Linked DNA regions of Tamandua tetradactyla. The protein of the gene in region 2 binds, or shares a complex with, the protein of the main gene of each other region. Links are inferred from orthologs where the notes say so. Each region holds a gene or a part of one and is shown on either strand. Other genes may lie near its edges.

Evidence for each region.
Region 1: the proteins of CFB (region 2) and CFD are in contact, whole or in part, in a crystal structure (PDB 2XWB), measured with the Homo sapiens proteins. The link is inferred for Tamandua tetradactyla from reciprocal best matches to the Homo sapiens genes CFB and CFD. Residues at the interface, in NP_001701.2 of Homo sapiens: Glu298, Ala301, Ser302, Ala332, Asp333, Ile469, Asp470, Glu471, Ser472, Glu518, Tyr519, Lys585, Asp758, Glu759, Asp760; in NP_001919.2 of Homo sapiens: Asn157, His158, Ala159, Gly160, Arg161, Arg162, Arg182, Thr183, Asp186, Arg200, Val228, Cys229, Gly230, Asn231, Arg232, Lys233.
Region 3: the proteins of CFB (region 2) and CFP are in contact, whole or in part, in a crystal structure (PDB 7NOZ), measured with the Homo sapiens proteins. The link is inferred for Tamandua tetradactyla from reciprocal best matches to the Homo sapiens genes CFB and CFP. Residues at the interface, in NP_001701.2 of Homo sapiens: Glu54, Gln56, Ser78, Thr316, Tyr317, Leu349, Ser351, Met394; in NP_001138724.1 of Homo sapiens: Arg329, Arg330, Asn331, Lys333, Pro341, Met420, Val421.

The regions. Positions count from the first base shown.
Region 1 is NC_135337.1:82,121,186-82,128,400, forward strand, and holds CFD (complement factor D), read right to left. Parts: upstream 3,074-7,215; 5' UTR 2,516-3,073; coding exon 2,458-2,515; intron 1,971-2,457; coding exon 1,814-1,970; intron 1,714-1,813; coding exon 1,569-1,713; intron 1,360-1,568; coding exon 1,102-1,359; intron 765-1,101; coding exon 549-764; 3' UTR 485-548; downstream 1-484.
Region 2 is NC_135331.1:87,502,245-87,510,093, forward strand, and holds the start of CFB (complement factor B), read left to right. Parts: upstream 1-4,822; 5' UTR 4,823-5,010; coding exon 5,011-5,080; intron 5,081-5,166; coding exon 5,167-5,400; intron 5,401-5,779; coding exon 5,780-5,965; intron 5,966-6,106; coding exon 6,107-6,280; intron 6,281-6,515; coding exon 6,516-6,617; intron 6,618-6,715; coding exon 6,716-6,852; intron 6,853-7,133; coding exon 7,134-7,272; intron 7,273-7,588; coding exon 7,589-7,720; intron 7,721-7,849. Other genes in the region: complement C2, read left to right, coding at 387-476, 2,112-2,252, 2,356-2,450, 2,533-2,644, 2,762-2,927, 3,030-3,106, 3,231-3,322, 3,502-3,628 and 2 more.
Region 3 is NC_135353.1:122,498,360-122,506,054, reverse strand, and holds the start of CFP (properdin), read right to left. Parts: upstream 3,089-7,695; 5' UTR 3,020-3,088; coding exon 2,941-3,019; intron 2,854-2,940; coding exon 2,703-2,853; intron 1,447-2,702; coding exon 1,271-1,446; intron 822-1,270; coding exon 651-821; intron 514-650; coding exon 322-513; intron 145-321; coding exon 1-144. UniProt on the Homo sapiens protein: A positive regulator of the alternate pathway (AP) of complement. It binds to and stabilizes the C3- and C5-convertase enzyme complexes. Inhibits CFI-CFH mediated degradation of Complement C3 beta chain (C3b).

The DNA.
Region 1 (7,215 bases), on a different chromosome or scaffold from region 2:
GAACATGGGTACCACGCCCCAGGTTCAGATCCTGGGTTTGCCAAGGAACTTCTGTTTGATGTCAAGAGAACCACGTGGCTCCTGCCAGTGTTTCCCTTCTGGGAAACGTGCAGCAAGTCGACATACTTCAGAGGGTTTCTGCACCTGAGCTTCAACCCAGAACGGGTCTTGCACACAAGAGGCTCTCAGGTTCCACCTGGGAATCAAAGGGAGAGCTGGGCACAGCCAGACCTATGTCCCCCTCCCACGCGAACCCATGCAGGGCCTCTAGGGAAGGGTGCGGGTGCCACCTCGTGGCTGGCGCGGGAGACGACATCCGCCTTGGGGCGTCGGGCCTCCCGGCACCGGGGTCTCAGTTTCCTGGCCCGCAGGCCGCCCCCTGCGCTTCGTCCAGCGAACCGCGCCTTTATCGGTGGCCTCCCGAACCCGTGCCACCGGGCTCACGGCCTCTGCATACAGTGGAGCTCCATGGAGGCTGACCGGATGCCGGACGGAATGACTTTATTGCTCGCAGCCCCAGCCCCCCGCGACCCCCGCACAGGGGACCCTCAGGGGGCCTCGGTCTCGGCCTCGGTCTCCGCGTCGGCCTCGACATTGGCCTCGGCCTCGGCCTTGGCCTGGGCCATGACGCCGTCGATCCAGTCCGCGTAGCTCGCCACGCGCGTGTAGATCCCGGGCTTCTTGCGATTGCCGCAGACGCGCGAGCCCGAGGTGACCACGCCTTCGGCCACGCCTCCGCACACCAGCGGGCCCCCGGAGTCGCCCTGCGGGGTAGGGGGCCGTGAGGGGCGCAAACCCCGCCCGCGACCCTCCCCACCGTAGCCCCCTGGGTCCACCTGGTTCTCCGCCAGCCTATCGCCCGGGTCCCGCCCACTGGACCAGGCCCCGCCCCTCTGACCCTAAGTCCGCCTCTAGCCCCGCCCCTTCCGGGCCCACCTGGGCCTCTGTCCCAGCGTCTGCTCCGGGATCCCAGCCGCCTGAGTCTCTGCTGTTCGGTGAGCCCCGACCTATCCTCGCCCCTAGCGCCCAGGTCTGGCCCCGCCCTCACCTCTTGGCTCCGCCCCAGCCAGTCCCCGCCCCGCCCCGCCCACCGGCCCGCACCTTGCAGCTGTCGTGGCGGTCGCTCCGCGCGCACATCATGCGCGGGGTGATAATGCCGTCGTGGAACGTGCGCTTGTTGCAGGTGTCGCGGTCGAGCACAGGCACGAGCACGTGGTACAGGCGGTCGGGCCGCCGGCCCGTGTGGCTGATCACGCCCCAGCCCGCCACGTCGCAGAGCGTGTCCCCCGCCACGTCGCGGTCCTCGCGCTGCCAGGGCAGGAGGCGCACGGCGGGACCCAGCGCGGCCTTCTCAGAGAGCTGGGGGGCGGGAGGCGGCAGTCACGGCGGGCGTGGGGGACGGCAGCACGACGGACTGCGGCTGCACTCGGTGACACGGGGTGGGGGGGCGCGGGCGTGCGCCCGAGCTGGGGGGTTGGGGGGGTTGCAGCAGGAGGGACTGCGGCTAGAGTTGGAGGACCCAGGGGTGGGAGCAGGTGCGGCAGGAGGGACGGCGCGTGGACTCTGACCTGCAGCAGGAGCAGGTCGTGGTCGATGGTGTCACGCCGGCTGTCGGGGTGGGGCACGGCGCGGCTCACGTTGTACAGCCGCTTGGAGGGCTCGGGCTGCGACAGGGAGTGAGCGCCCAGAAGCACCTGCACCTCCTGGCCGGCGCTGGGGGCGGGACGAGCCTGGGGTCAGAGTGGCGCCCCCCACCCCCACCCCTGGCGCCCGCGGCGCTCCCTCCCTGTTCCCACGGTCCCGGGCCACTCACGCATCCTCCAGGCAGTGCGCCGCGCTCAGCACCCACTTCTCGGCCACCAGGAACCCACCGCACACGTGCGAGCCGTTGACCTGCACCGATGCCATGTAGGGCCGCGCGTGGGCCTTGGACTCACTGCCCCTGAGGATGCGGCCGCGGGGCTGCGCCGCTGTGGGGGAGGTCGGCGGACGTCAGGACCGCGGGGAGGACAGGACCCCGGGGGGCTGCACCCCCACTCCCACCCTTGCAATGCTCCAGGCCCTCCCAGACCTGAGATTCCATCATTGGGATTTTCCCTCTCAGGGTTGCAGACTCAAATGCCCTGGGGCTGGGCAGGAAGACAGAGAAGACAAAAACCAGGGTAGTGGGAGCACTTGGGCAAATCAAATCGAGCAACACAGCCACTGCACAAACCCAAGGAGCTGGCCAGCCTGGCCCGGGCTTTGGCTGTAGAATTGCAGGGTTGGCTGCCAGGAACTCGGCACCTGGAAGGCTCAAATGCCACAATTCCTTGGCTTTCTCTTCAGGTGGCCTGTGCTCCACCCCTGGCTCCTGCCTGTTCGTTGAGGTTGGGGGATTATCCTGCTTGGGGTTGGGGGGGCCCTCGCGACACCCCTCCAGGCCGGTAGCCCCTACCCTCTCCCAGGCCCACTCACCACACACAGCCACTCCCATGAGAGTCAGCAGCGCTGGATGCATCCAGCCGGCAGCCATGGTGCCGCAGGGATCTCTGGACCCGGGCACCGCTTGGAGGGGTTTTTATGAGGGTGGAGGGGGCGGGCGGCTCCCATGGGTCCCATCTGCCAGTGGGCCGGGACCCAGATAGGGAAAGAGGAACGAACCAGCCCCACCTTTGCCCCCCCAGGGGGCGGGGGGAGCAGTGTTATCTCCTGGGGGGTGGGGTGCAGCACTCTCTCCCCGGGGTGAGGGGGGGCAGCATTATCTCCTGGGAATGGGGGTCCCTCCGGCCTCTGTGAGCCTGGCCAGGGCTGATCCTGGTGTGTGGGGAGGGGCATGGAGGAGGGCTGGACTCACCTCCTAGCCCCCAAGGCCCCTGCCCCATCTCCCCGACCCCAGAATACCCTTCTAGCCCCGAAATTTCACAATAGCAGCTGGAGGCCGTAGTTTGTAAACAACCCGTTTCCTCATTTCTCTGCCCCTCCCTTCTTTCTCTTCCTTCTCCAACTTGGAAAGGAGGTTGGGTGGGGGTTGGGGAGCGTCACCCAACACCTTGCCCTCTTCCCTGTGATCTCCAAGTCCTGAGGCCCCAACAAGTAGAATGTCAGAACAAGTAGAATGTCAGAATAAGTAGAATGTTGTGGCAGGGTGGGGGTGGGGGGGAAAGACTGCATACAAAAGCGATGGAAAAACCAAGTCAAACTGGATGAAGACTTCAACAAGGGAATGGAAATGGAAAATGACTGCCTTCAGGTGCAGCTTGATCCAGACACTCCAGCAATGTCAGGCTTCTTTCCTCCTTGATGGCTTCCCTCCTCACTGGGCTCCCCTTTTGTGGCCCCCCCCCCAAAGTGAAGGCCTCATTCCCCAGCACTCCAGCCAAAATCTCAGGCTGCCTCTGGTTGGTCAAGCCCAGGTGGCATGTCCCCACTCAAAACGGTCCCCAAGGACAGGAGATGGCAGGTTCTAATCGGCCACGCCTGGGTCCCACGGTCCTTGGTATGGGGAGATGTTGGACCAAGGTCCCCCAAACTGATGGGGGCAGAGGTGCTTGTGGGGGAAACCTCAGAGATCCCCACCGGAGACAGCCACATAATATTTTTCCCACTGCTTCTTTTCTCTTCACGGGAGACCATTTCACACATGCAGAAAATAATTGAGCAAATGAGATTGTTAGAGCCCACCGTGCTTCCTTCTTGAAGTCAGAAATGCTGAACGAAAGTGTTTTTTTGGGAGGGGGTGGAGTCCAGATTATGTGTCAATATGGTTCAAGGTTGCAACAAAAATTGGAAACAACCCCCAGGCCCAGTAAGAAGGGAGCAATTCAGTAAATAACCCTGAACTTCCCCAGATGTGGTTTTTTTAAAAAATTTATTTATTAATTTAGAAAAATTTAACAAACAAAATGTAACGTTAACATAGATAATCAGCAATTCACAATATCATTACTTAGTTGCATATTCATAATTTCTTAGAACATTTACATCCATTCAGAAAAAGAAATAAAACGAAGAAAAACAAAGAGTATACCTACCATACCCCTTACCCCTCGCTTTCACTGATCACTAACATTTCAAACTAAATTTATTTTAACATTTGTTCCCCCATTATTTATTTTTATTCTATATTTTCTACTCGTTTGTTGACAAGATAGATAAAAGGAGCATCAGACACAAGGTTTTCACAATCACACAGTCACATTGTGAAAGCTATATCATTGTTCAGTCATCATCAAGAAACATGGCTACTGGAACACAGCTCTACATTTTCAGGCAGTTCCTTCCAGCCTCTCCACTACATCTTAAACAACAAGGTGATATCTACTTAATGCATAAGAATAACCTCCAGGATAACCTCTCACTCTGTTTGGAATCTCTCAGCCATTGACATTTTGTCTCATTTCACTCTTCTCCCTTTTGGTCGAGAAGGTCGCAGATGTGGTTTTGACATGGAAAAGTCACTGGGGAGTCATATTAAATATAGAAAGCAATCAGTCGCAGGGCAGCTGGCACCTGGGCAGAGATGTGACAAAGGGATGAAAGCATGGGCAAAGGCCCTGGGGCCAGGGGTGGGCTGGCTGGCAAGTTCTTGCAGGAGAGGACTTGGGGCCGGGAAACAGGAGGGGAGGGGGTGCAGAGGAGCTGGCTTGTGGTTGCCGACCTCAGCTCCCTCATTTATTTGCTTGTTTGGGTGCTTGACTTCTCCCCCAATTGACTGTGAGCCAGTGGATGGCAGAGGCTGCCTCTGTTGCGGTCCCCACCCATGGCCCTGAGAGGGGTCCTTCCTGGGCTTCAGGGAGGTAGACAGACGGCTGTGACCTGAGATGTGAACCCCTGGCCAGGCCCTTCCCGGCCTGTGTCTCACTCCTTCCCCTCCAGGAAACAGGCAGCAGCAGCTTGCCTGAAGACTCAATCCCAGATGGGACTCGACCCCAGGTCTGGGGAACCCAAACCCTGGCATCCAACCAGGACTTTCCACCCCTCTGAAACTCTCTTTCCTCTCCTGTCCTGCTAGGACCTGCCTCGAGGTTGGAGAGGGTTGTATGAGCGAACACTTGTACCCTGCAAGCACTCCAGTAAACTGGAGCTGGTCACCGTCTGGGACGCTAATTTAATTGTGTGAAGGTGGATTGTGTAGGAAGGAAAAAAGGATGTCTGGCCCTCTTTTGTGGCCGGTGGGGAAGGGACCCGCTTCTTGTGTCAGTGCCCTGACTTTGCCACCACCTGGTGGCAGCGTACTTAAGAAATGCTCAAGACACCCACCTGACTGTTTTCACCCAACAGGTACGCAGCCAACAAATTCCCAGACACGTTCTACAAAACAAAGGAATTTTATTGTGCCAGTCACTAGATAAGCAGCCATGTGCAGGTGGAGTGGGGTGATGGGACAGCGCCTCCTAGCGGGTCCTGCTTGCCAGGCCCCTGGGCTAGGAAAGAGGGTGGACATCATAGCGGCGGATGATGGAGTTGATCCAGTCTGAAAACTGCGCCACCGGAGCAAAGGCATCTGGGTAGAAGCCAGAGGCACAGCTTCCACGGATGAAGGAGTCGATGCCAAAAACCAGCCCGTTGCAGACAAGCGGACCACCGGAGTCCCCCTGTGGAGGCAGACGGGCAGAAGTTTGAGTTTCAAGGCCTCTAGCCCACCCGTCTCCCGCTGGGGTGGAAGAAGTCCTTTCTGGTGTCTAGCTGCAGTCCCTCTTGCTGCAGCCCAGGCCAGGAACAAGATGGTGGGAGCAAGGGGAGGGGGCTACGTACGAAGCAGATGCCGGCCCGCCGGCGCCGCACGAGCGTGCACACGTTGGAGGCAGGGCAGAGGGAGGTCACCACCGTCACGTTGAGCTCTTGCAGGACACTGGGTGGGGGGTTGTTCGTGCCCAGGCGGCCCCAGCCCATGGCCAGGCAGCTCGTCCCGTCGCCCACACTCTGGCCCTGGGTGGGCAGCTGGGCCGTCCGCACGTTGGCATTGGTGGTGGCCGTCCCGTTGAGCTGTGGCAGGTGGGCAGAGCATCGGGGGTCACAGCGGGTGGCAGGTAGAGACCCTCCCTGCCCCAGGCCTCAGTTTCCCCCTCGGAGGCTCTGACCAGAAGTTGGCTTTGGGGATCTCATGGAGCAGGGCACCCACCCTGAGCCTCAGTTTCCCCCTCTATAAAGTGGGAGCAATCACACTAGCTGGGGGCACAATTAGGGGCATCCGGGACGTGGTCCATACACAGTGAACAGTAGCTGCACAATAAAGCAAACTGTGGGCAATGTGATTGTTGCCAAAACCCTTGTTTTAGAACTTTCCCATTTTGCAAGCTGGGGTGTGATATTCTCCCTCGAGTCTCCTGCCTGCCCCAAGTTGGGGGGACCTTGCTCCATTTCTCAGAGACAGGGTCTGTCCCTGCCTGTGGGTCACATAAGTGGATGGTATTGCTATTATTTATCAATAAGAAGAGCTGCCTCTGTTTGTTGATCAACAACTGCTTAGAGTACTGCAGTATCATCTTCCAAAATCCCCCCACCAGCCTAGGAGGTGGAGACTGAGGCAGAGAGGGGGTGTCCTGCCGGCTTAGAGCCCAGGTATGGCCCCAGGACCCTACATCCCAGCCCCAATGTGCCTCCCAGTCTCCCCCTTTCTGCCTAGTCCCACCCCTGACCTCAGGGCCTTTGCACATGCTGCCTCCGCCAGCCCATCCAGCCTCACACCTGGAGGATGACGATGTCATTCTGCAGTCTCCTGGGGTCAAAGCCATTTTCAAAGATCCGCTGGACTGAGAAGGTCTGTCGGGTGGGCTCCCGCTGCTGCAGGTCATGTGCCCCCAGTACCACCTGCACCCTCCGGAAGTTTCTGCAGCAAGCCGGGGCCAGGGGAGACAGTGACACAGGTTGGCCTGACTCGGCCCCTACCCTCCCTGTCCCTCTACAGAGCTGGGAACCCCAGCAGAGGCCACCCATCCCGCCCGCATGCCTATGGGGAGCAGGGAAGGTGCACGGACAGGGTCGCTGGGGGGGTGGGCTGCAGGCCCAGGACGGGCCCCTTGGAGGAGCCCCGGGGCCTGCTGTGCAATGGGGTGACTCACTGGCCGTCCACGCAGTGTGCCGCCGACATGACAAAGCTCGGGGTGATCAGGGTGGCCCCGCAGAAGTGGCCACCCCGCTGCTGCAGAGACACCATGAAAGGCCACGCGTGGGGCCGGGCTGGCCGGCCCCCCACAATCTCCGAGGCCTGCGCCGGGCCTGGGGACCCACAGG
Region 2 (7,849 bases):
TCTTCTTGACCAAAAGGGGGAAGACAGAAATGAGACAAAATAAAGTTTCAGTGGCTGAGAGATTCCAAACAGAGTCGAGAGGTTATCTTGGAGGTTATTCTTATGCACTATATAGATATCCCTTTTTAGTTCATGGTGTATGGAAGAAAAAAAATGAGAATACCCATATATGGGGGTTATCCTGAGAATTAAGAGAGAGAATGTAAATGAAGCTCCTGGCCTGATACTCCAGCACATGGAAAATTCCAATAAAACAGTATATTTTAAGACGCACATTGGAAGTGTAAAGGTTCAGGTTCCCAGGCTGGGTGCTTCTCCACACTCCCAGGGCTCTGGGGAACCTGACACCCACCCAAGTCAACGATTCTCGTCCCTTCTCGATCTAGGAAAGTCCAACATGGGTGGCTCACCCAAGCGGGCTGTTGATGATATCAAGGAGATTCTGAACATCAACCAGAAGAGAAACGACTACCTGGGTGAGCCTCGGCGCCCCCCACCATCCCCGGCACACCACTGCAGGTGGCACAAGGCCTCCTCCTGGGGTTCCAGCCTGGGATGTAGGCTGTGGCGCTCTGGATGGAAGTCCCTTAGGTCGTGGTGAAGTGTGCGGAGTCTGCAGCCAGATTGCCCAGGGTTTCAACCTCGGTTCCATCCTGATTGGCCATGGCCGTGGGCATCACCCCAGGAAGAAGGGGTCTAGATCCCTTGTGAGGGCCTTCCCTGACATCATGTCTTTTAGCAGCATGGCTTTGGCAGCGGCAGCCCCTAAAGGAACAACTCCTTGGGTTCAAACCAAACACAGATCACACTGAACTTTGACAAGAAAAGAATTTCAGAGAGAGATTCTCCAGGCAGGGAGGGCAGCTGGTGTTGAGCCCCTGAGTGTCACCTGCTCCTTGCATCCTCTCCTTTTCCATTCGCTGACCCCATCCTCCCTGCCCTTCCGGGACACACTGATTCCCCTTTAAAACTTTGGCTGGAGAAGGACATCATTCACATCCGCTCCCTTAGCACCATGGGATAAATGTTCCAGAATATCTTATTGAAAAGAAATGGGAGGGCTGGCCACAGTGGCTCAGCAGGCAGAATTCTCGCCTTCCATGCTGGAGACCAGGACTCGATTCCCGGTGCCTGCCTATGTTAAAAATATAAAAAAATTAAAAAATGGGAAATTTAAGGGTACTAGTCAAAGAAAACACCCTGGGCATGGTAATTGTCCAGCTCACACTGTCACTGCTTCTGACCACCTCTGCAGGATCCCTCCTTGGCTGAAGATTTCTCTCACAGTCCACCTGCATACTTATTCCCTACACTCAACACAGGGGCAAGTGTGGGCCATGATGGGGTGCTGAGGGTCGGAGAAGACAAGACTCCCGTGAGCCGCTTCAGGGCACCCATGTTCAGAGGCCGCTGTGGATGGTTGTGTGGGTCCCGGTTTTTCAGTGGGGAGGGACGGCTTTGGGCTGCTCTTCCAGATTATATGTTTGACAGAGGGAGATCGGATCCAAAGCTCTCTCTCCATGCTATGTGCATGTGTTCTTTTTCATTCACTCATTCGTTTACAAGTACTCACAGAGTGCTTCTCCTGGGCTTTCAGCTGTGAACAAAACAGATACAAATGCCTGCCTGCATGGGGCTGCTCTTCCAGAACAGGGCCAATAAACAAGATAAATAAGGAGACCAAACAGCACATTAAGTAGTGAGGCGTGCTAAGGTGTTTAAGAGCTGGTGGAGGGATGGAAGTGCCTGGTATCTGGGGCATTATGGTTTTAGACAAGGAGGCTGGGGAAGTCCTCACCAAGAAGGTGTCATTTAAGACTAAGCCCAAAGAAGCAAGAAAGGGAGGTGCGTGGAAGAGGAGGGAAGAGTAAAGCAAGTGGAGGCACTGGCGCAAAGGGCCTGAGGGTAGGATGAGGAACTGCGAGGGGACCTACGTGGCTGGAAAAGAGTGAAGGATGCCGTGGTAGGAAACAGGGTGGGACGGGGGTGGGAAAGGGGCGTCCAGCTCCTGTAAGCTTTGGAGGACACAGTGAGTTCCAAATGACAGCCTCCAGCCTCACGGGGTAGCCCCGCAGCCACACGATTCGGGTGCTTTCCCTCCTCCCCATCAGACATCTATGCCATTGGGGTGGGCAAGGTGGATGTGGACTGGAAAGAACTGAATGAGCTGGGGTCCAAGAAGGATGGAGAGAGGCACGCCTTCATCCTGCAGGACACAGAGGCTCTGCTCCATGTCTTTGAACATATGCTGGGTGAGTGAGCTTTGCCCTGGCGGGAGCGGGGCACGGGTAACGAGGCAGCCCCGGGCTCAGCCCCTCGCTTGGCTCCCTCCCTGTCTGCTCCTCACCCTCACAGATGTCTCCAAGCTCACAGACAACATCTGCGGGGTGGGGAACATGTCAGTCAATGCCTCCGACCAGGAAAGGACACCCTGGCATGTCACCATCAAGGCAAGACCAGGAAGGAAGGGTGGGGGTTGGGTCCCCAAGGTGAACTGGGCCAGGGGCCTGAGGATCACCCATTGTCCTGCAGCCCAAGGGCCAGGAGACCTGCCGGGGGGCCCTCATCTCGGACCAGTGGGTCCTGACGGCTGCCCACTGCTTCCGCAATGTCGAGGACATCTCCTTGTGGAGAGTTATTGTGGGTAAGGCAGGGTCGCACCAAGGCCCTCCACTCCGGGACCAGAGCTTCTGCCCTGTGTCTCCAGCCTCTGAGCCCTCCACAAGCTCTGGTCCAGTCTAATCTGCTGTGCCGTTTCCAGGGGATCCAAACTCCCAGTGGGGCAAAGACTTCCGGATTGAGGAGGTGGTGACTTCCCCGGGGTTCGACGTCTTTGCCAAGAAGAAGCAGGGGATCCTGGAGTTCTACGGCGACGATATCGCCCTGCTGAAGCTGGCTCAGAAAGTGAAGATGTCCACCCATGCCAGGTGCCGGGAGGGCACCTCGCGGGGAAGGCCGGTCTTGGGGAGCCCAGGAGAAGGGAGGTTGAGGGGCCAGCCTGCCTGCATGACCTGCACCCTTCTTCCCAGGCCCATCTGCCTTCCCTGCACAGAGGGAGCCAATCTGGCTCTGCGGAGACCCCAAGGCAGCACCTGTCGGGACCATGGTGAGCACGAGGCTTAGGGCGTGTGAAGAACTGGGGTCCCAGGCGTGGGGCGGACCTCCCAGGCCAGGAGTCTGGGTTCCGAGCAAAGGCACCAGCACCAGCACCCCCTTCTCCTCGGCTGCAGAGAGAAAACTTCTGGACACACTGAGTGTTCCTGCCCATTTTGTGGCCTTGAATGGGAGCGCACTGAACATTAACCTCAAATTGGGGTCGGAGGTGAGGGGTTGGGTCCGGGATGCTGTGGGGGACGGGATTCCCAGGACGTCCCTCTCCCTCCCCTGGCTTTGGTCGTTTTCTCGCTCTGAGCCGTCAGCCCTCCTCCCGGCTCAGCTCGCCCCAGGTGTCCCCTGGCTCTACCTGCTCCATCCCTCTCTCCTGCTCCACCCATACTGCAGAGGGAAGACTGCATCAAGGTGGTCTCCCAGCACAAAACCATGTTCCCCAACCTGACGTCTGTCGGAGATGTGGTGACAGACCAGTTCCTCTGCAGCGGGATGGGGAAGGATGACAATCCCTGCAGGGGTGAGCTCCCTTCTCCCCTCTAGACCTGGATTCATGTGGGGAAAGCCACCGGTGTCCTCGCGGCCAGCACGCACACCAGGAGACCCTGTGCTGCCTGCGATGACAGTGGAGCCGGGTGAGCGACGGGGTGACGCTGTCCCCTCTCCCTCCTTTCTGCAGGAGAATCTGGGGGAGCAGTTTTCCTTGAGCGAAAATATAGGTTTTTTCAGGTGAGAAGAAACGGGGCAAGTTCGCAGGACGGGGGTGGCTGGGTCTTAGGGGGATGCGGGAGGGCTTGTGCAGGAACCAGGGAGGTTGGGGCTCGGGACTGGGGCTGGGGCAGACCCTCGCCCTCTTCACTCCCTTCTTCCAGGTGGGCTTGGTGAGCTGGGGCCTCTACAGCCCCTGTGTCAGCGCCGACAAAAACTTCCGCCAGAGGGCTCCCCAAGGCATGGTCCCTCCACCACGAGACTTCCATATCAATCTCTTCCGCCTGCAGCCCTGGCTGAGGCAGCACCTTCAGGATGTCCTGAAGTTTTTGCCCCCCTAGACATGGCCACCGGCCCTTCTCCTGTCTTGTCGGGACCTGCCATCTCTTCCCACTCCTTTTTCTGACATCCCTACTCAGCCCTCTCTACCCACCCTTGCTCCTGGCTCTGAGTAAAGTTTGGCCTCCAGGATCGATCCCAGCAGGCAGCGGGCCATGCCAGGGCTGACTGCCCCAGATCCTCATTTCCATTTTCTCCAGCCAGTGTTCAAATCCCTTCCTCTGGTTTGTCTCACCTCTCCTTTCACTTTCACGTGGAATTTCCCAGTTATGAAATTAATAAAAGTTAATGATTTCCACATCCATCTGTGCCCCGGCCTGGGGTGGGGTGATGGTGCTGGGTTCAGTTGGCCTGGGGGCGGGACAAGAATGATTCCAGGAATCCCAGGAGGGCAGGTCAGAGCCCCTGCTGGGTAAACAGCTGCTGGACTCTGCCTCATCACACACAGTCCGCAGGGGAGTGAGGTCAGGGTCTTATTTGTGGTCCCTAACAGGGCAGCCTGGGTTTGTTGGAGAAGAGCTGGCAGGGTGTTGAGGGGGAGAGTCCTGGAATCTGAGCATCAAAAGGTGGGGTTCGTGCAGTTTCTATTTCCTTGGCTGGAAGCTCAGTGGAGCCCTCCCACTTGGACTTTCCGGAAAGTGATCTGTGTGGGGTGGGTGGGGCAAGCGAGCCACAGGTGCCAGACACAGATTGCATAAAGGCTTGGGGGCTGGTGGGAGCCAAGGAGAAGGAGTGTGACCAGGCCCAGGGCTGAAGTTTCCTCTTGGACACAGAGCCAGACACACAGCACAAGTCAGGATAATAGACCATCTTGCTTCCCCTCTCCCCCTATCGCCACCTTCTCTCCTGTCTTCCATGGCCATGGGGAGGAATCTCAACCTCCCACTCTGCCTGCTTCCTTTGGTCCTGGGCTTCTTGTCCGCAGGTAAGTGAGGATCAGCTCCCCTCTCCTGCTGCCTAACATCCCTCTTCAGCCTCATGGGGCCAGGCTTAATCAGCCGTTCTCTTTAGGTGTGTGCACAACTCCACTGCCTAAGGACAAGCTCCAAAGCCCCTGCTCTCTGGAGGGGGTAGAGATCACAGGTGGCTCCTTCCGCCTTCTCCAGGAGGGCCAGGCACTGGAGTATGTGTGTCCCTCTGGCTTCTACCCATACCCTGTGCAGACTCGCATCTGCAGACCCTGGGGGTCCTGGAGTACCCTGCAAACCAAAGACCGAAAAGTTGTCAAGAAGGCAGAGTGCAAAGGTTGGGGGGCAGTGAGGGTGGGGGTGGGTCAAGGGAGGGATGGAGTAGGTGGTGGCAAAGGTTGGGACTTATATGTCCTACATTGAGAGCAGGTCGCTGAGAGGGAGTAGGAGCAGCTCTAGGGTCTGAGGTGGGGAGGAGGGAGGAGAAAGGAGCGCTTACCCTGTACCAGGGAGCCCTCACAGTTAAAAGAACACTCAGACATGGGGATGAAGGAGCAGCTGGGTGCCCCATGGGTTGAAAGGTAAAGGGGAGTAGACGCTGTTTTTGTGGGACTGGGACAGTGCTGTTTGTCAGTACAGGGACCTGAGATCAGGAGAGAGACCCTGAAGGACAGTGCTTCTCTTTTAGTGATTTCCACTTTTCTCTCTACCTAAAGAAATTCGCTGCCAAAGACCACAGGACTTTGAGAATGGGGAATATTGGCCCCGGGCCCCCTACTACAATTTGAGTGATGAGATCTCTTTCCATTGCTATGACGGTTATACTCTCCGGGGCTCTGCCAATCGCACCTGTCAAGCAACTGGCCGGTGGGATGGGCAAACAGCCATTTGTGATGATGGAGGTGAGAAGGGTTTTCTCCTGCCACATTACTCTCTCCTTGTTGACCAACCTGCCTGAGGAACTAGCACCAAAACTCTTGTTCTCTGCCTTGCCCTTTGGCCACAGGCTTTGGTTCTCACCTCCTTGTCTTGTGCCTCTGCAGCGGGGTACTGCCCCAACCCGGGCATTCCCATTGGCACAAGGAAGGTGGGCAGACAGTACCGCCTTGAAGATAGCGTCTACTACCACTGCAGCCGGGGACTCACCCTGCGTGGTTCTCAGCAGCGAAAGTGCCTGGAAGGTGGCTCCTGGAGTGGGACAGAGCCTTCTTGTCAAGGTGACCCTTGAACTATGACCCCCGACAGATTCTGCCCTCCATCCTAATGTCTCCATACCAAGGCACCATCTTCTCCTAGCTCAACCCAGCTTCCCCCTCATTTCTTCCAAACATCCCAGTAGAGCTTTTCTCACTTCTGAGAGTTTCCCACCCTGGAAAACCACAATCTGTCTCTTTGGTCACTGAGTCCTTAAACCCTCTCAGACATCTGACCTGATTTTTTACTACTCCTCAGATTCCTTTATGTACGATACCCCTCAAGAGGTGGCGGAAGCCTTCCTGTCTTCCCTGACAGAGACCATAGAAGGAGCCGATGCTGAAGATGGGCACAGCCCAGGTTTGAAGACAGAGAAGAGAGGCAGGGTTGAGAATTGGGGGAGGAGGGAGAAGGAGGACAGGACATGCTGGAGCCTGAGTCTCTCTGGTGACACCTAGGAGAACAACAGAAGCGGAAGATTATCCTGGACCCCTCAGGCTCCATGAACATCTACCTGGTGCTGGACGGATCAGACAGCATTGGAGCTAGCAACTTCACAGGGGCCAAGAGGTGTCTCACCAGCCTCATTGAGAAGGTGGACCTCCCTGCCCCCTAAACGTGGTGACCCTGAACACACCTCACTGCTTTCCAGGGCCAGTTCCCTGGTACCCACAAGACCCTAGAAAATTTCCAAGTTCTCTTCTGTCCTCCTTTACCTACTTGAAACATTTCCCTGACTTTACCACAGACTCTTCTGTGAACCTCAGGGTGACTAGCCAGCCCTTGAACCTCTTGCTCTACGATCTTCATCCCAGCAAAATTGCTGACTTCTCCCAACCACAGCATTTTCATTTCAATGCCTGTGACCCTTTGCAGGTGGCGAGTTATGGGGTGAAGCCAAGATACGGTTTAGTGACATATGCCACAGACCCCAATGTTTTGATTAGAGTGTCTGAAGCAAGGAGCAGTGATGCAGACTGGGTCACGGAGCGGATCAACCAAATCAGTTATGAAGGTCAGAGATTAGGTTAGGCAAGACAATGACAGGAGGTTCATCTGGGGATCAGAGAGGTCAGAAGGTTGAGGGGCGTTGTAGGGAGGGGCTATGGAGAACCACTTTTAGTAAAAGGGAGGACAGTAGGGTCATTGGACGATGGAGGTTAATGGGAACCTGTTGGGCTGGGAGGACCACTTTGTAGTAAAAGTGAAGTCAATGGGTTAACAGCTAAGTCACAGTGGAAAAATGTGGGATCCCAGGGATTGAAAGGCTTCTGGGTCTCAAAAGTGGCTTTGAAGACTAGGTGAGATGGTGGCCTCTTCCCTCTCCACAGACCACAAGTTGAAGACAGGGACCAATACCAAGAAGGCCCTCCAAGCAGTCTACAGCATGATGAACTGGATAGGGGATAAACCCCCTGAAGGCTGGAACCACACCCGCCATGTCATCATCCTAATGACTGATGGTCAGAAGGGATCTCTCTCCTGTCCCATATTACCCCCCCTTAACTCCAGCATGTGGGCCTTAAAGCCCACATGTAACACTGGACTCATGGTTGGGAAACTGAATGCTACTCATAGCTGACTGTTTGAGT
Region 3 (7,695 bases), on a different chromosome or scaffold from region 2:
GGGTCTGGGTCGAGTCACCGGCACAGTAGGAACCTCCATGTTGGGGAATAGGTTGATCGCATGTCCGCTGATCCAGGATCAGGCCCAGGCCGCAGGTCACAGAGCAGGTGCTGATATGGCTCCATGGCCCCCAGCCCCCAGCCACTGTTGGGGAATAAGAGAGTAAGGAGAGAGTCCACCATCCTGTAGGTAGACTGCCCCCAAATGAAGAGCTATGGAGTCACATTATTTGGGACTTTTAGCTCCTGCAACTGGCAGAAAATCTGTGCATGGAATCAAGAGCTCTGTTGGCAGAGTGTCAAAGTCCTCATGTCTACATACCTGGACAGGGTGGCAGGTTGGTGCAGCCCTGCTGCTCGTAAGCTAGCCCTGGGCAGGGCTTCCCGGGAGGCACTGTAGAGGGCTCAGGTGCAGTACAGGTGCGGCTTCTTTTCTCCACAGGTGCGTGAGGTCCACCATGGCAGGAGCCTGAGCAGGGGCCCCATGGGCCCCAGGCAGCCCAGGCCCCATGTGCTGTAGTGGGATGGGGGTGGGGAAATGCCAGGTGTGGCCATGCATGCTGAGGTCCTTCTACCCTGGCATTCCCTGCTGTAGCCCCACACATCCACCCTAGGTGCCCCCATTAGTGCCCTGCGGCTGCCCTCACTCACTGGGGCAGACTTTCTGGGTGTCGCAGGCCTCTAAGTTGCGTGCTTCTCCTGGGCAGCTGCCCCCACACTTGGGAGCAGGGTTGTCACAGGCTCGCTGGCGGGCCCGGGTCCCTTTGGCGCAGGTGACAGAGCAGGAGCTCCAGGGACCCCAGTTGGACCAGCCTCCCATCTCTGTAGGGGAGAAGAAAGGAGGATAGGATGGAGGTGGGGGCATCATTCAGGGCTTCCTGCCTCCTCATGTACCCCACATCTGGTCTGTCTGCCAATCTGTCCCTGCATTCTCTGGTACCACACCTAGTTCTCTGTCATGGTCAGGCTGGGTTATCGTGGTAAGCTTCATGCTGACCCCTCCTTTATAGCTCAAGTCAGATCATGTCTCTCCTGCCCACAACCCCAATCACTGAGTGAAAGCTAAAATCCTCTCCTCACTATGGCCCATGAAGTCCTATACAATCAGGCCCTGTCACTTCTCTGACTTCCCCTCCCATCACTCTCCCCTTCACTGGCTCTCCTCCAGCCACACTGGCCTCCCCGACTGCTCCTTGCGAACATCAGGCATGATCCCACCGTCAGGGCCTCACTAATGGAGAGTGCTTGCCCGCCTCACTGCTCCTCCTCACCAGGACAGCATGCCTGGTCCTCACATGCCTGCAGCTGCCACTCGAGGGTTCCAGGCTCTTCCTTCTCAGAGCACTGCCCTCCCTGGCCCACGCAGCGCCGGTGCCGCAGCTGGGAGCCCTCGGAGCAGGTCACTGAGCAGGGGGCCCACACAGACCACTGTGACCATCGTGGGCTACTGCAAAGAGGAGCACAGGTGTTCCATTCTGGCTGTGTCTGGTACCATTGAAGTGGCAGGAATGGCGTGTGGCACATGGGGGATGCTGTATATATGTGTGTGGAATAGATTGATAGGAGCACCTACCTCTTAGGAATGTTGGAAGACTGAGAAGAGGTGCGCACACAGTAAGTGCTTAATAAATGTTATTTATCTTCATGTCTAGGGACCTGGAGCCACCCTTGGAAGTCCCCCAAGTACAGTGCCAGGCACACAGTAAGCAAATGTAGGGAATATGGGCCCAGAACTGCTGTCAGAAACCCGTCAGGCCACCACCCTGCATGGGAATAGGCAAATAGTAAGTGCTTAATAATAAGAGCCATCATCCTGATAAGGGGCTCAGGCGCCCCCCCCACCTCAGAAATACCCCAAGACCTACTCCCAGCCTTCTGCACAGCACTGAGCAGGTTGTTAGTAATAATTAATAGTGAAGTGCTGACATGTCTAGGGGCCCAGAACTGCCCTCAAAAATCCTCACAATATGTCTGGTATATACAGTAAGCATTTAGAAAAAACATCTGGTATACAGTAAGGGCTCAATAAATGTAAGCTGGCATCTTGATTGGAAGACTAGAGCTACCCTCAGGTTGCCCTCCCACATCGACAATGCATCTGGTATGCCAAAAGTGCTTAATGAATATCACATGTCATCCTACTTAAGAGCCAGGAGCTGCCCTCTGAACTCCCCAGACTCTTTCACCTCCACAATGTATCCATATACAATAAGCATGCAATAAATAAGAGCTGTTATCACAATTAGGGGACTAGGGATACCTTTGGCCCCACCTGCCTCACCCCACCCTGCTTCTAGTATGTAGGAAGGGCTCAGTATGTGTGAGCTACGGTGGCAGTTCTCAACCTGGGGTGGTTTTGTCCCACAGGAGACATTCAGCAATGTCTGAAGACATTTTTGGTCATCACAATTTTGGGAGAGTGTGTGTGTGCTGCTACTGGCGTCTATTGGGTAGAGGCCAGAGATGCTAATAAACATCCTACAATGCACGGGGCAAAGAATTTTCTGGCCCCAAATGTCGCTAGTGCCAAAATTGAGAAATCCTGAGCTGTGGTCATAGTCAGGGCCTCAGAATGACCCTTGAAAATCCCAGAGAAGGAAAGAGCTCAGCCCTGGGTCATCCTGCAGACAGCTCTTTCTACCTACCCCTTGCCACCACCCCCAAACCTCCCCCACCAATGCTCTGTTCCAGGTTCCCCCTTACCTGCAAGCTTGACAGGGCCCACCTCCTGGCTCCTGGAAGGCGTAGGCAGCATTGAGGCAGCAGTCTTTGGTACTGACACCTCCCCCCAGGAGGCCCTTGCACTTGGCCGAGGATTCCTCATACTGGGTGAAGCAGAAAACCGGGTCTGAGCCTGTGATGAGGCCAGGTGGGAAGGTACAGTCAGGGGTGTGAAGAGCCTAGGCACCCCTGGGGGCCAGCGAGGCCTTTCCCCACTTACCTGTGGTGGGCAGGGTGAACAGCAACAGTGGTAATGGCAGCAGCAGCAGCAACCGAGAGGTCTGTGTTTGAACGGTCATGCTGAGCACTGTGCCACCACCAGAGAGGAAGCCTGGCTTTATCTGCTCTGCCCTGCCTCCTGGAGTCAGCAGGGAAAGAGGAACCAGGCTGCAGGAGGAACTGGGAGGGCACTGGGGCAGATGGGGGTGGGGTGGGGCACGGAGGAGGGTGCTGTGCAGGTATCTGCTGCCCTGACCTTGCCTTTGTCCCATCTATGTCCTCGCCCTGTTTCCTCTCTCACTTAGTCCTGTTTTGTTTGTCGTCGCATCCCCAGTACCTAGCAGTCTGCCTAGCAACCTTTGAGTGCTCCCATCAGTGCTCTTTAGGCAAATTCTCACTTAGGGGAAATGGAGCACAGTATGGAACAAGACAAACTTCCTAGCTGTGTAGCCTTGAGCAAGTCACTTAAACCACTTTGCGTCTCAGTTTCCCTATCCGTAAGACACATAATCTATACCATAATAACATAACCACGAAGTTGTTGAACAAGGATGAAATGAGTGTGAAGTGCTTACAGGGTGGAGGGGACATTGGGGTAATTGCTTCATCCTCTATCCTGACTTAACCTCAGCCATGGTCTTTCAGGAAAATGAGGTTCCCTGCAGTCAGCATAGTGGAGAGGTCAGCACAAGGGAAGTGAGAAGGGGAAGTGATAGGGGTGTGGGAAGAGGGATGCAGAAGCAGCCAATAGGGTTGTCTGCTGCCTTGGGGGCCCAGTTGGGGACACTTGCATGGTCTGTGGAGTGAGTAGTTAGGAAAGAACTGGCTCTGCCATGTTCCAACTCTGCCTTCCTTGAGCCTCAGTTTCCTCCTCTGTAAAATGAGGATGTATATTGTAGAGTTTGTGGCAAGGATTGGGAGTTAAGATTTTTAAGTGTTTAGAACAGTGCCTGGCATATAGTACGTGTTCTGATTGTTAGACAAATTCACTCAACAGTCATTTGTTGAGTACCTGTTAGGTGCCAGATGCTGTTCTAGGCATTGGGCAGTGCAGAGAACAAAACAGACAAAAACAAACAAACAAACAAAAAAAACCCTGGCCCTCAAGCTTACATTCTAAAGGAGGAGACAGATAATAAATGTCACCTCTCTGAGGGCTTCCCATCTACCCTCTAGTGTGGCACCCTTGTCACTTTCAAACCCAGTGGTTATCAAACATTAGTGTGCCTCACAATCATCTAGAAGGCTCATTGAAACACAGCTGAGCCCCATTCCAGAGTTTCTAATTCAGTCAGTCTGGACTGGGGCTTAAGAATGTGCATTTCTAACACATTTCCAGGTGTTGCTGGTGCTGCTGATTCAGGGCCCATATTTTGTGAACTACTGTTCTAGCCTCTGACCCCTCTCTTCTTTGTGGTTTCATCTATAGAAAACAACTCTACATGCTCCCTATTTTACTGTTAATAATTAATTCCTCCAATCCATTTTCCATGCAAGTAAAACTGAGTTCCACAGACCTGTTATTTATTTTTTTAATAAACTCTAATAAGTGAAACTCCAGAGCCTGCTTTAGAATGAGAATCTTTAACAAAAAGTTGTCTAAGAAAGACATGAAGGCAAGCTCTCATTTCCCCTACATTCATGGAGAAAGAAACACCATTCTGTAAATTAAAACGAGATAAAGGAATTTGATTTGGTCAGGTGTTAAAACACAACTTCCACAAGAATATCTGTGTTTTTTAATGGGCAATAAGGTGTGTGTTGATAATTGCATCTGTTACAGGTATACTTTGTTCTCTAATAATATAAGCCCATCTTTGAAACTGTGAATTGGACAAAGGGGTCTTGTTAGATTTGAAGAATTCAGACATCAGTGCTGTGTTACCCTGTGAAAATAAACTACCAGAGAAACCTGTAATTCTGGCTGGCTGCTTTATTTAATCACCTGCTGCCCTGGTAATAAAGTTATAATCAGTATTTCCTTTGTTCCTAAATGGCATAAATACAGGATTCTCTGTTGAAGAGGTTTGCTGGCACTTTCACCTTCTCCCACACGAGTTCAGGCAAAAAATCAATCTGCAGATTCCTTATTTAAAAAAACAGTGAGAGTCTTGTCTCATTTAATGACTGCCTCACTATCTATTATTTTATATTCATCTGTTTCTTGTCTGTCTCTGTTACTAAAATATCAGCTCCATGAGGGCAGGAATTTTTGTCTCGAATGTTAACTGCTGTGTCTGTAGGGCCTAGATCAGCACTGGCATGCAGGAGGTGTTCAATCACTGTCTGCTGCATGAACAAATAAAGGAAATAAGCAAATAGATCTTTAGAACTCCTGATAACTGCTAAGAGGAACAGTTTGGTGTAGAGACGAAAATGTGGGCACCATTTGGGGGGGGGGGTGTATATTGGATGAATTTACCTAAAGAGGGCTATTTTTTTGGTATGCTGTATGGCAGGGTCACATTTCATTCTTTTTCCATGTGAGTATCCCATTATTGTAGCACCATTTGTTGAATTTTTGTTTGTTTACTTGCTTATTTTTTAGTGGGGGGGAATGCATGGGCTGGGAATTGAACCTGGGTCTCCCGCATGGCAGGTGAGAATTCTACCACTGAACTACCCTTGTACCTCCTAGAGAGGGCTTTTGAGAAGAGAGAAGGGAACCTGAGGCAAAGCCCTGGGGAAGCCCCACATTTCAAGTTTTGGAGAACTGGGAGAAGCCAGAAGAGGAGGGGGCTGGGAAGGAAGAGGACAAACAAGAGGGTTTTTGCTAGATCTGGCAGATGCAATAAGTGGTTCTCTCATATAATGTCTCACACAGTCTCAGTAATTCATTCACTTTTTTTTTTTTTACATATATGGACACAGTTCTAGATTTATAGCCTCAACTGTAGTCTCTTACAAACTGGTTCACATGCATATTCAATCAGACAGGCTCTCAGATATTCCCTGTTACACAGGGAGTCATTTTCTTTGTCACAGATTCAGTCTTAGTACAGTCTCCCACTAAGAGTTTCACACACACAATCATAATATCTCATATCTTGTTTTATTCAAGCTCACCAACATTTTCTCACCAGTTTTTCACATACACGCAAACGGAGTCACATTGTCTCATTTGTTTTCTCAGTTACACAAATAGTTACTGATTTAGTTACTAGTCTCTCATGAAGTTTCTCATATAAGTGTACAAAATCGCCATCAGCATATCTCATACCCCTTAACTCAAGCCACTTTTTCTCACCCCCCACAGACCCTGATTATGTCCTCTACTAGTTTTCCATGAAGTTTCACGTGCACACACAATCAGTCATAGACACTGTTTCAGTCATCTAGTCTCCTATTTCTTCATCACCTTCCAATATACCCAGACCTTGATTTTACCACCTTTTATTCTAAAGTCCCTCGCGAAGAGTTTTACACATACCCACATGATCTGTTTCTCAGACTCTCAAACCCATTCAGTCTCATGATTACTTTCTCTCAGTCAGCTTCTGATGTATGTGGACACTGATTCAAAATCACTAGTAGTATCTCAGTAAGTTTCACATATATGACCAGTGTCTCATGCCGTTCTCATTCACATCATCATTTTCTTTATATAGTTGGCTTATTGTGTACACACACGCACAATTACAGTCTCATAAGCTGTTTCAACCACATTTAGTCCCATTTTCTTATACATGGTCACTAATTCAGTCTCTTTTAGAGTTCCATTGGCACATACAATCACAGTCCCTGACCTTACACTAAGTCTGACTCATTTTTCTCTCACATTTTTTTCTTATAACACAAATGCAATCCACAATTTATAGTCTCAGTGGCAGTCTCTCATCATTGGTCTCACATTCATCACAACCAGTCTCTCAGTCATTTTTTCCCTCGAAGTCATCTTCGCATATTTAGTATTTGATCTACAGTTAAGACTACAGCCTATCCCAATAGGTTCACACCCTCCCACAGAATCCCAGTCTTTGACACTGTTACCCATTCAGTCACAGGTCCATTTTCTATGTGTTGACTTCTACTGTACAGTCATTGATTTACAATTGCTATTATGGTATCTCACTAACAGTTTCATACACGACTATAAAAATTTTCTCTCACAGTCCGTTTCACCCCACCCACAGTAATAGTCTCCTAAGCTGTTTCAGCCATTCATTGAGTTCCAATCATTGTCTCAGTCTTCTACATACAGTTACTGATTTACAGTCAATAGTACAGCCTTTCATGAAGTTTCTCTTATACACTCAATGACATGGTCTCTCAGTGTCTCATTCACTCAGTTCCTGTCACTTTCTTGGTTTTTCAAATTCACAGCCCCTGATTTAGTCTCTTATGAAATGTTTCACATACCTACACAATCTGAGACACTGTCTCAACCACTAATTTTTACTCTCTCAGTTTCTCACAGTTACTGACTTCTGGTTGTCACTACTTGCAGTTTTTCTTGAACAGTTCCTCTTCTGTCTCACAGACACAATTATGTGGTCTCTCATACCTTAGTCAGTCTCATCATTATTTTCTCTCAAATTTTCTCATATATACAATCACCGGACCTGTTGGAACAGACTGTAAATCGATTTGCTTCTTGTCTCTTAGTTTCACATACAAACAAACACAATTAAAGTCTCTCATAGTCTCCAAGTTCTAACCATTTTTCTGTTTCTCACATATACAATCTTTACCATAGTCTCTCACGAGAAGTTTTCATAGACACAATCATACATTCTCATCTCTTGTGTCTCAGTCA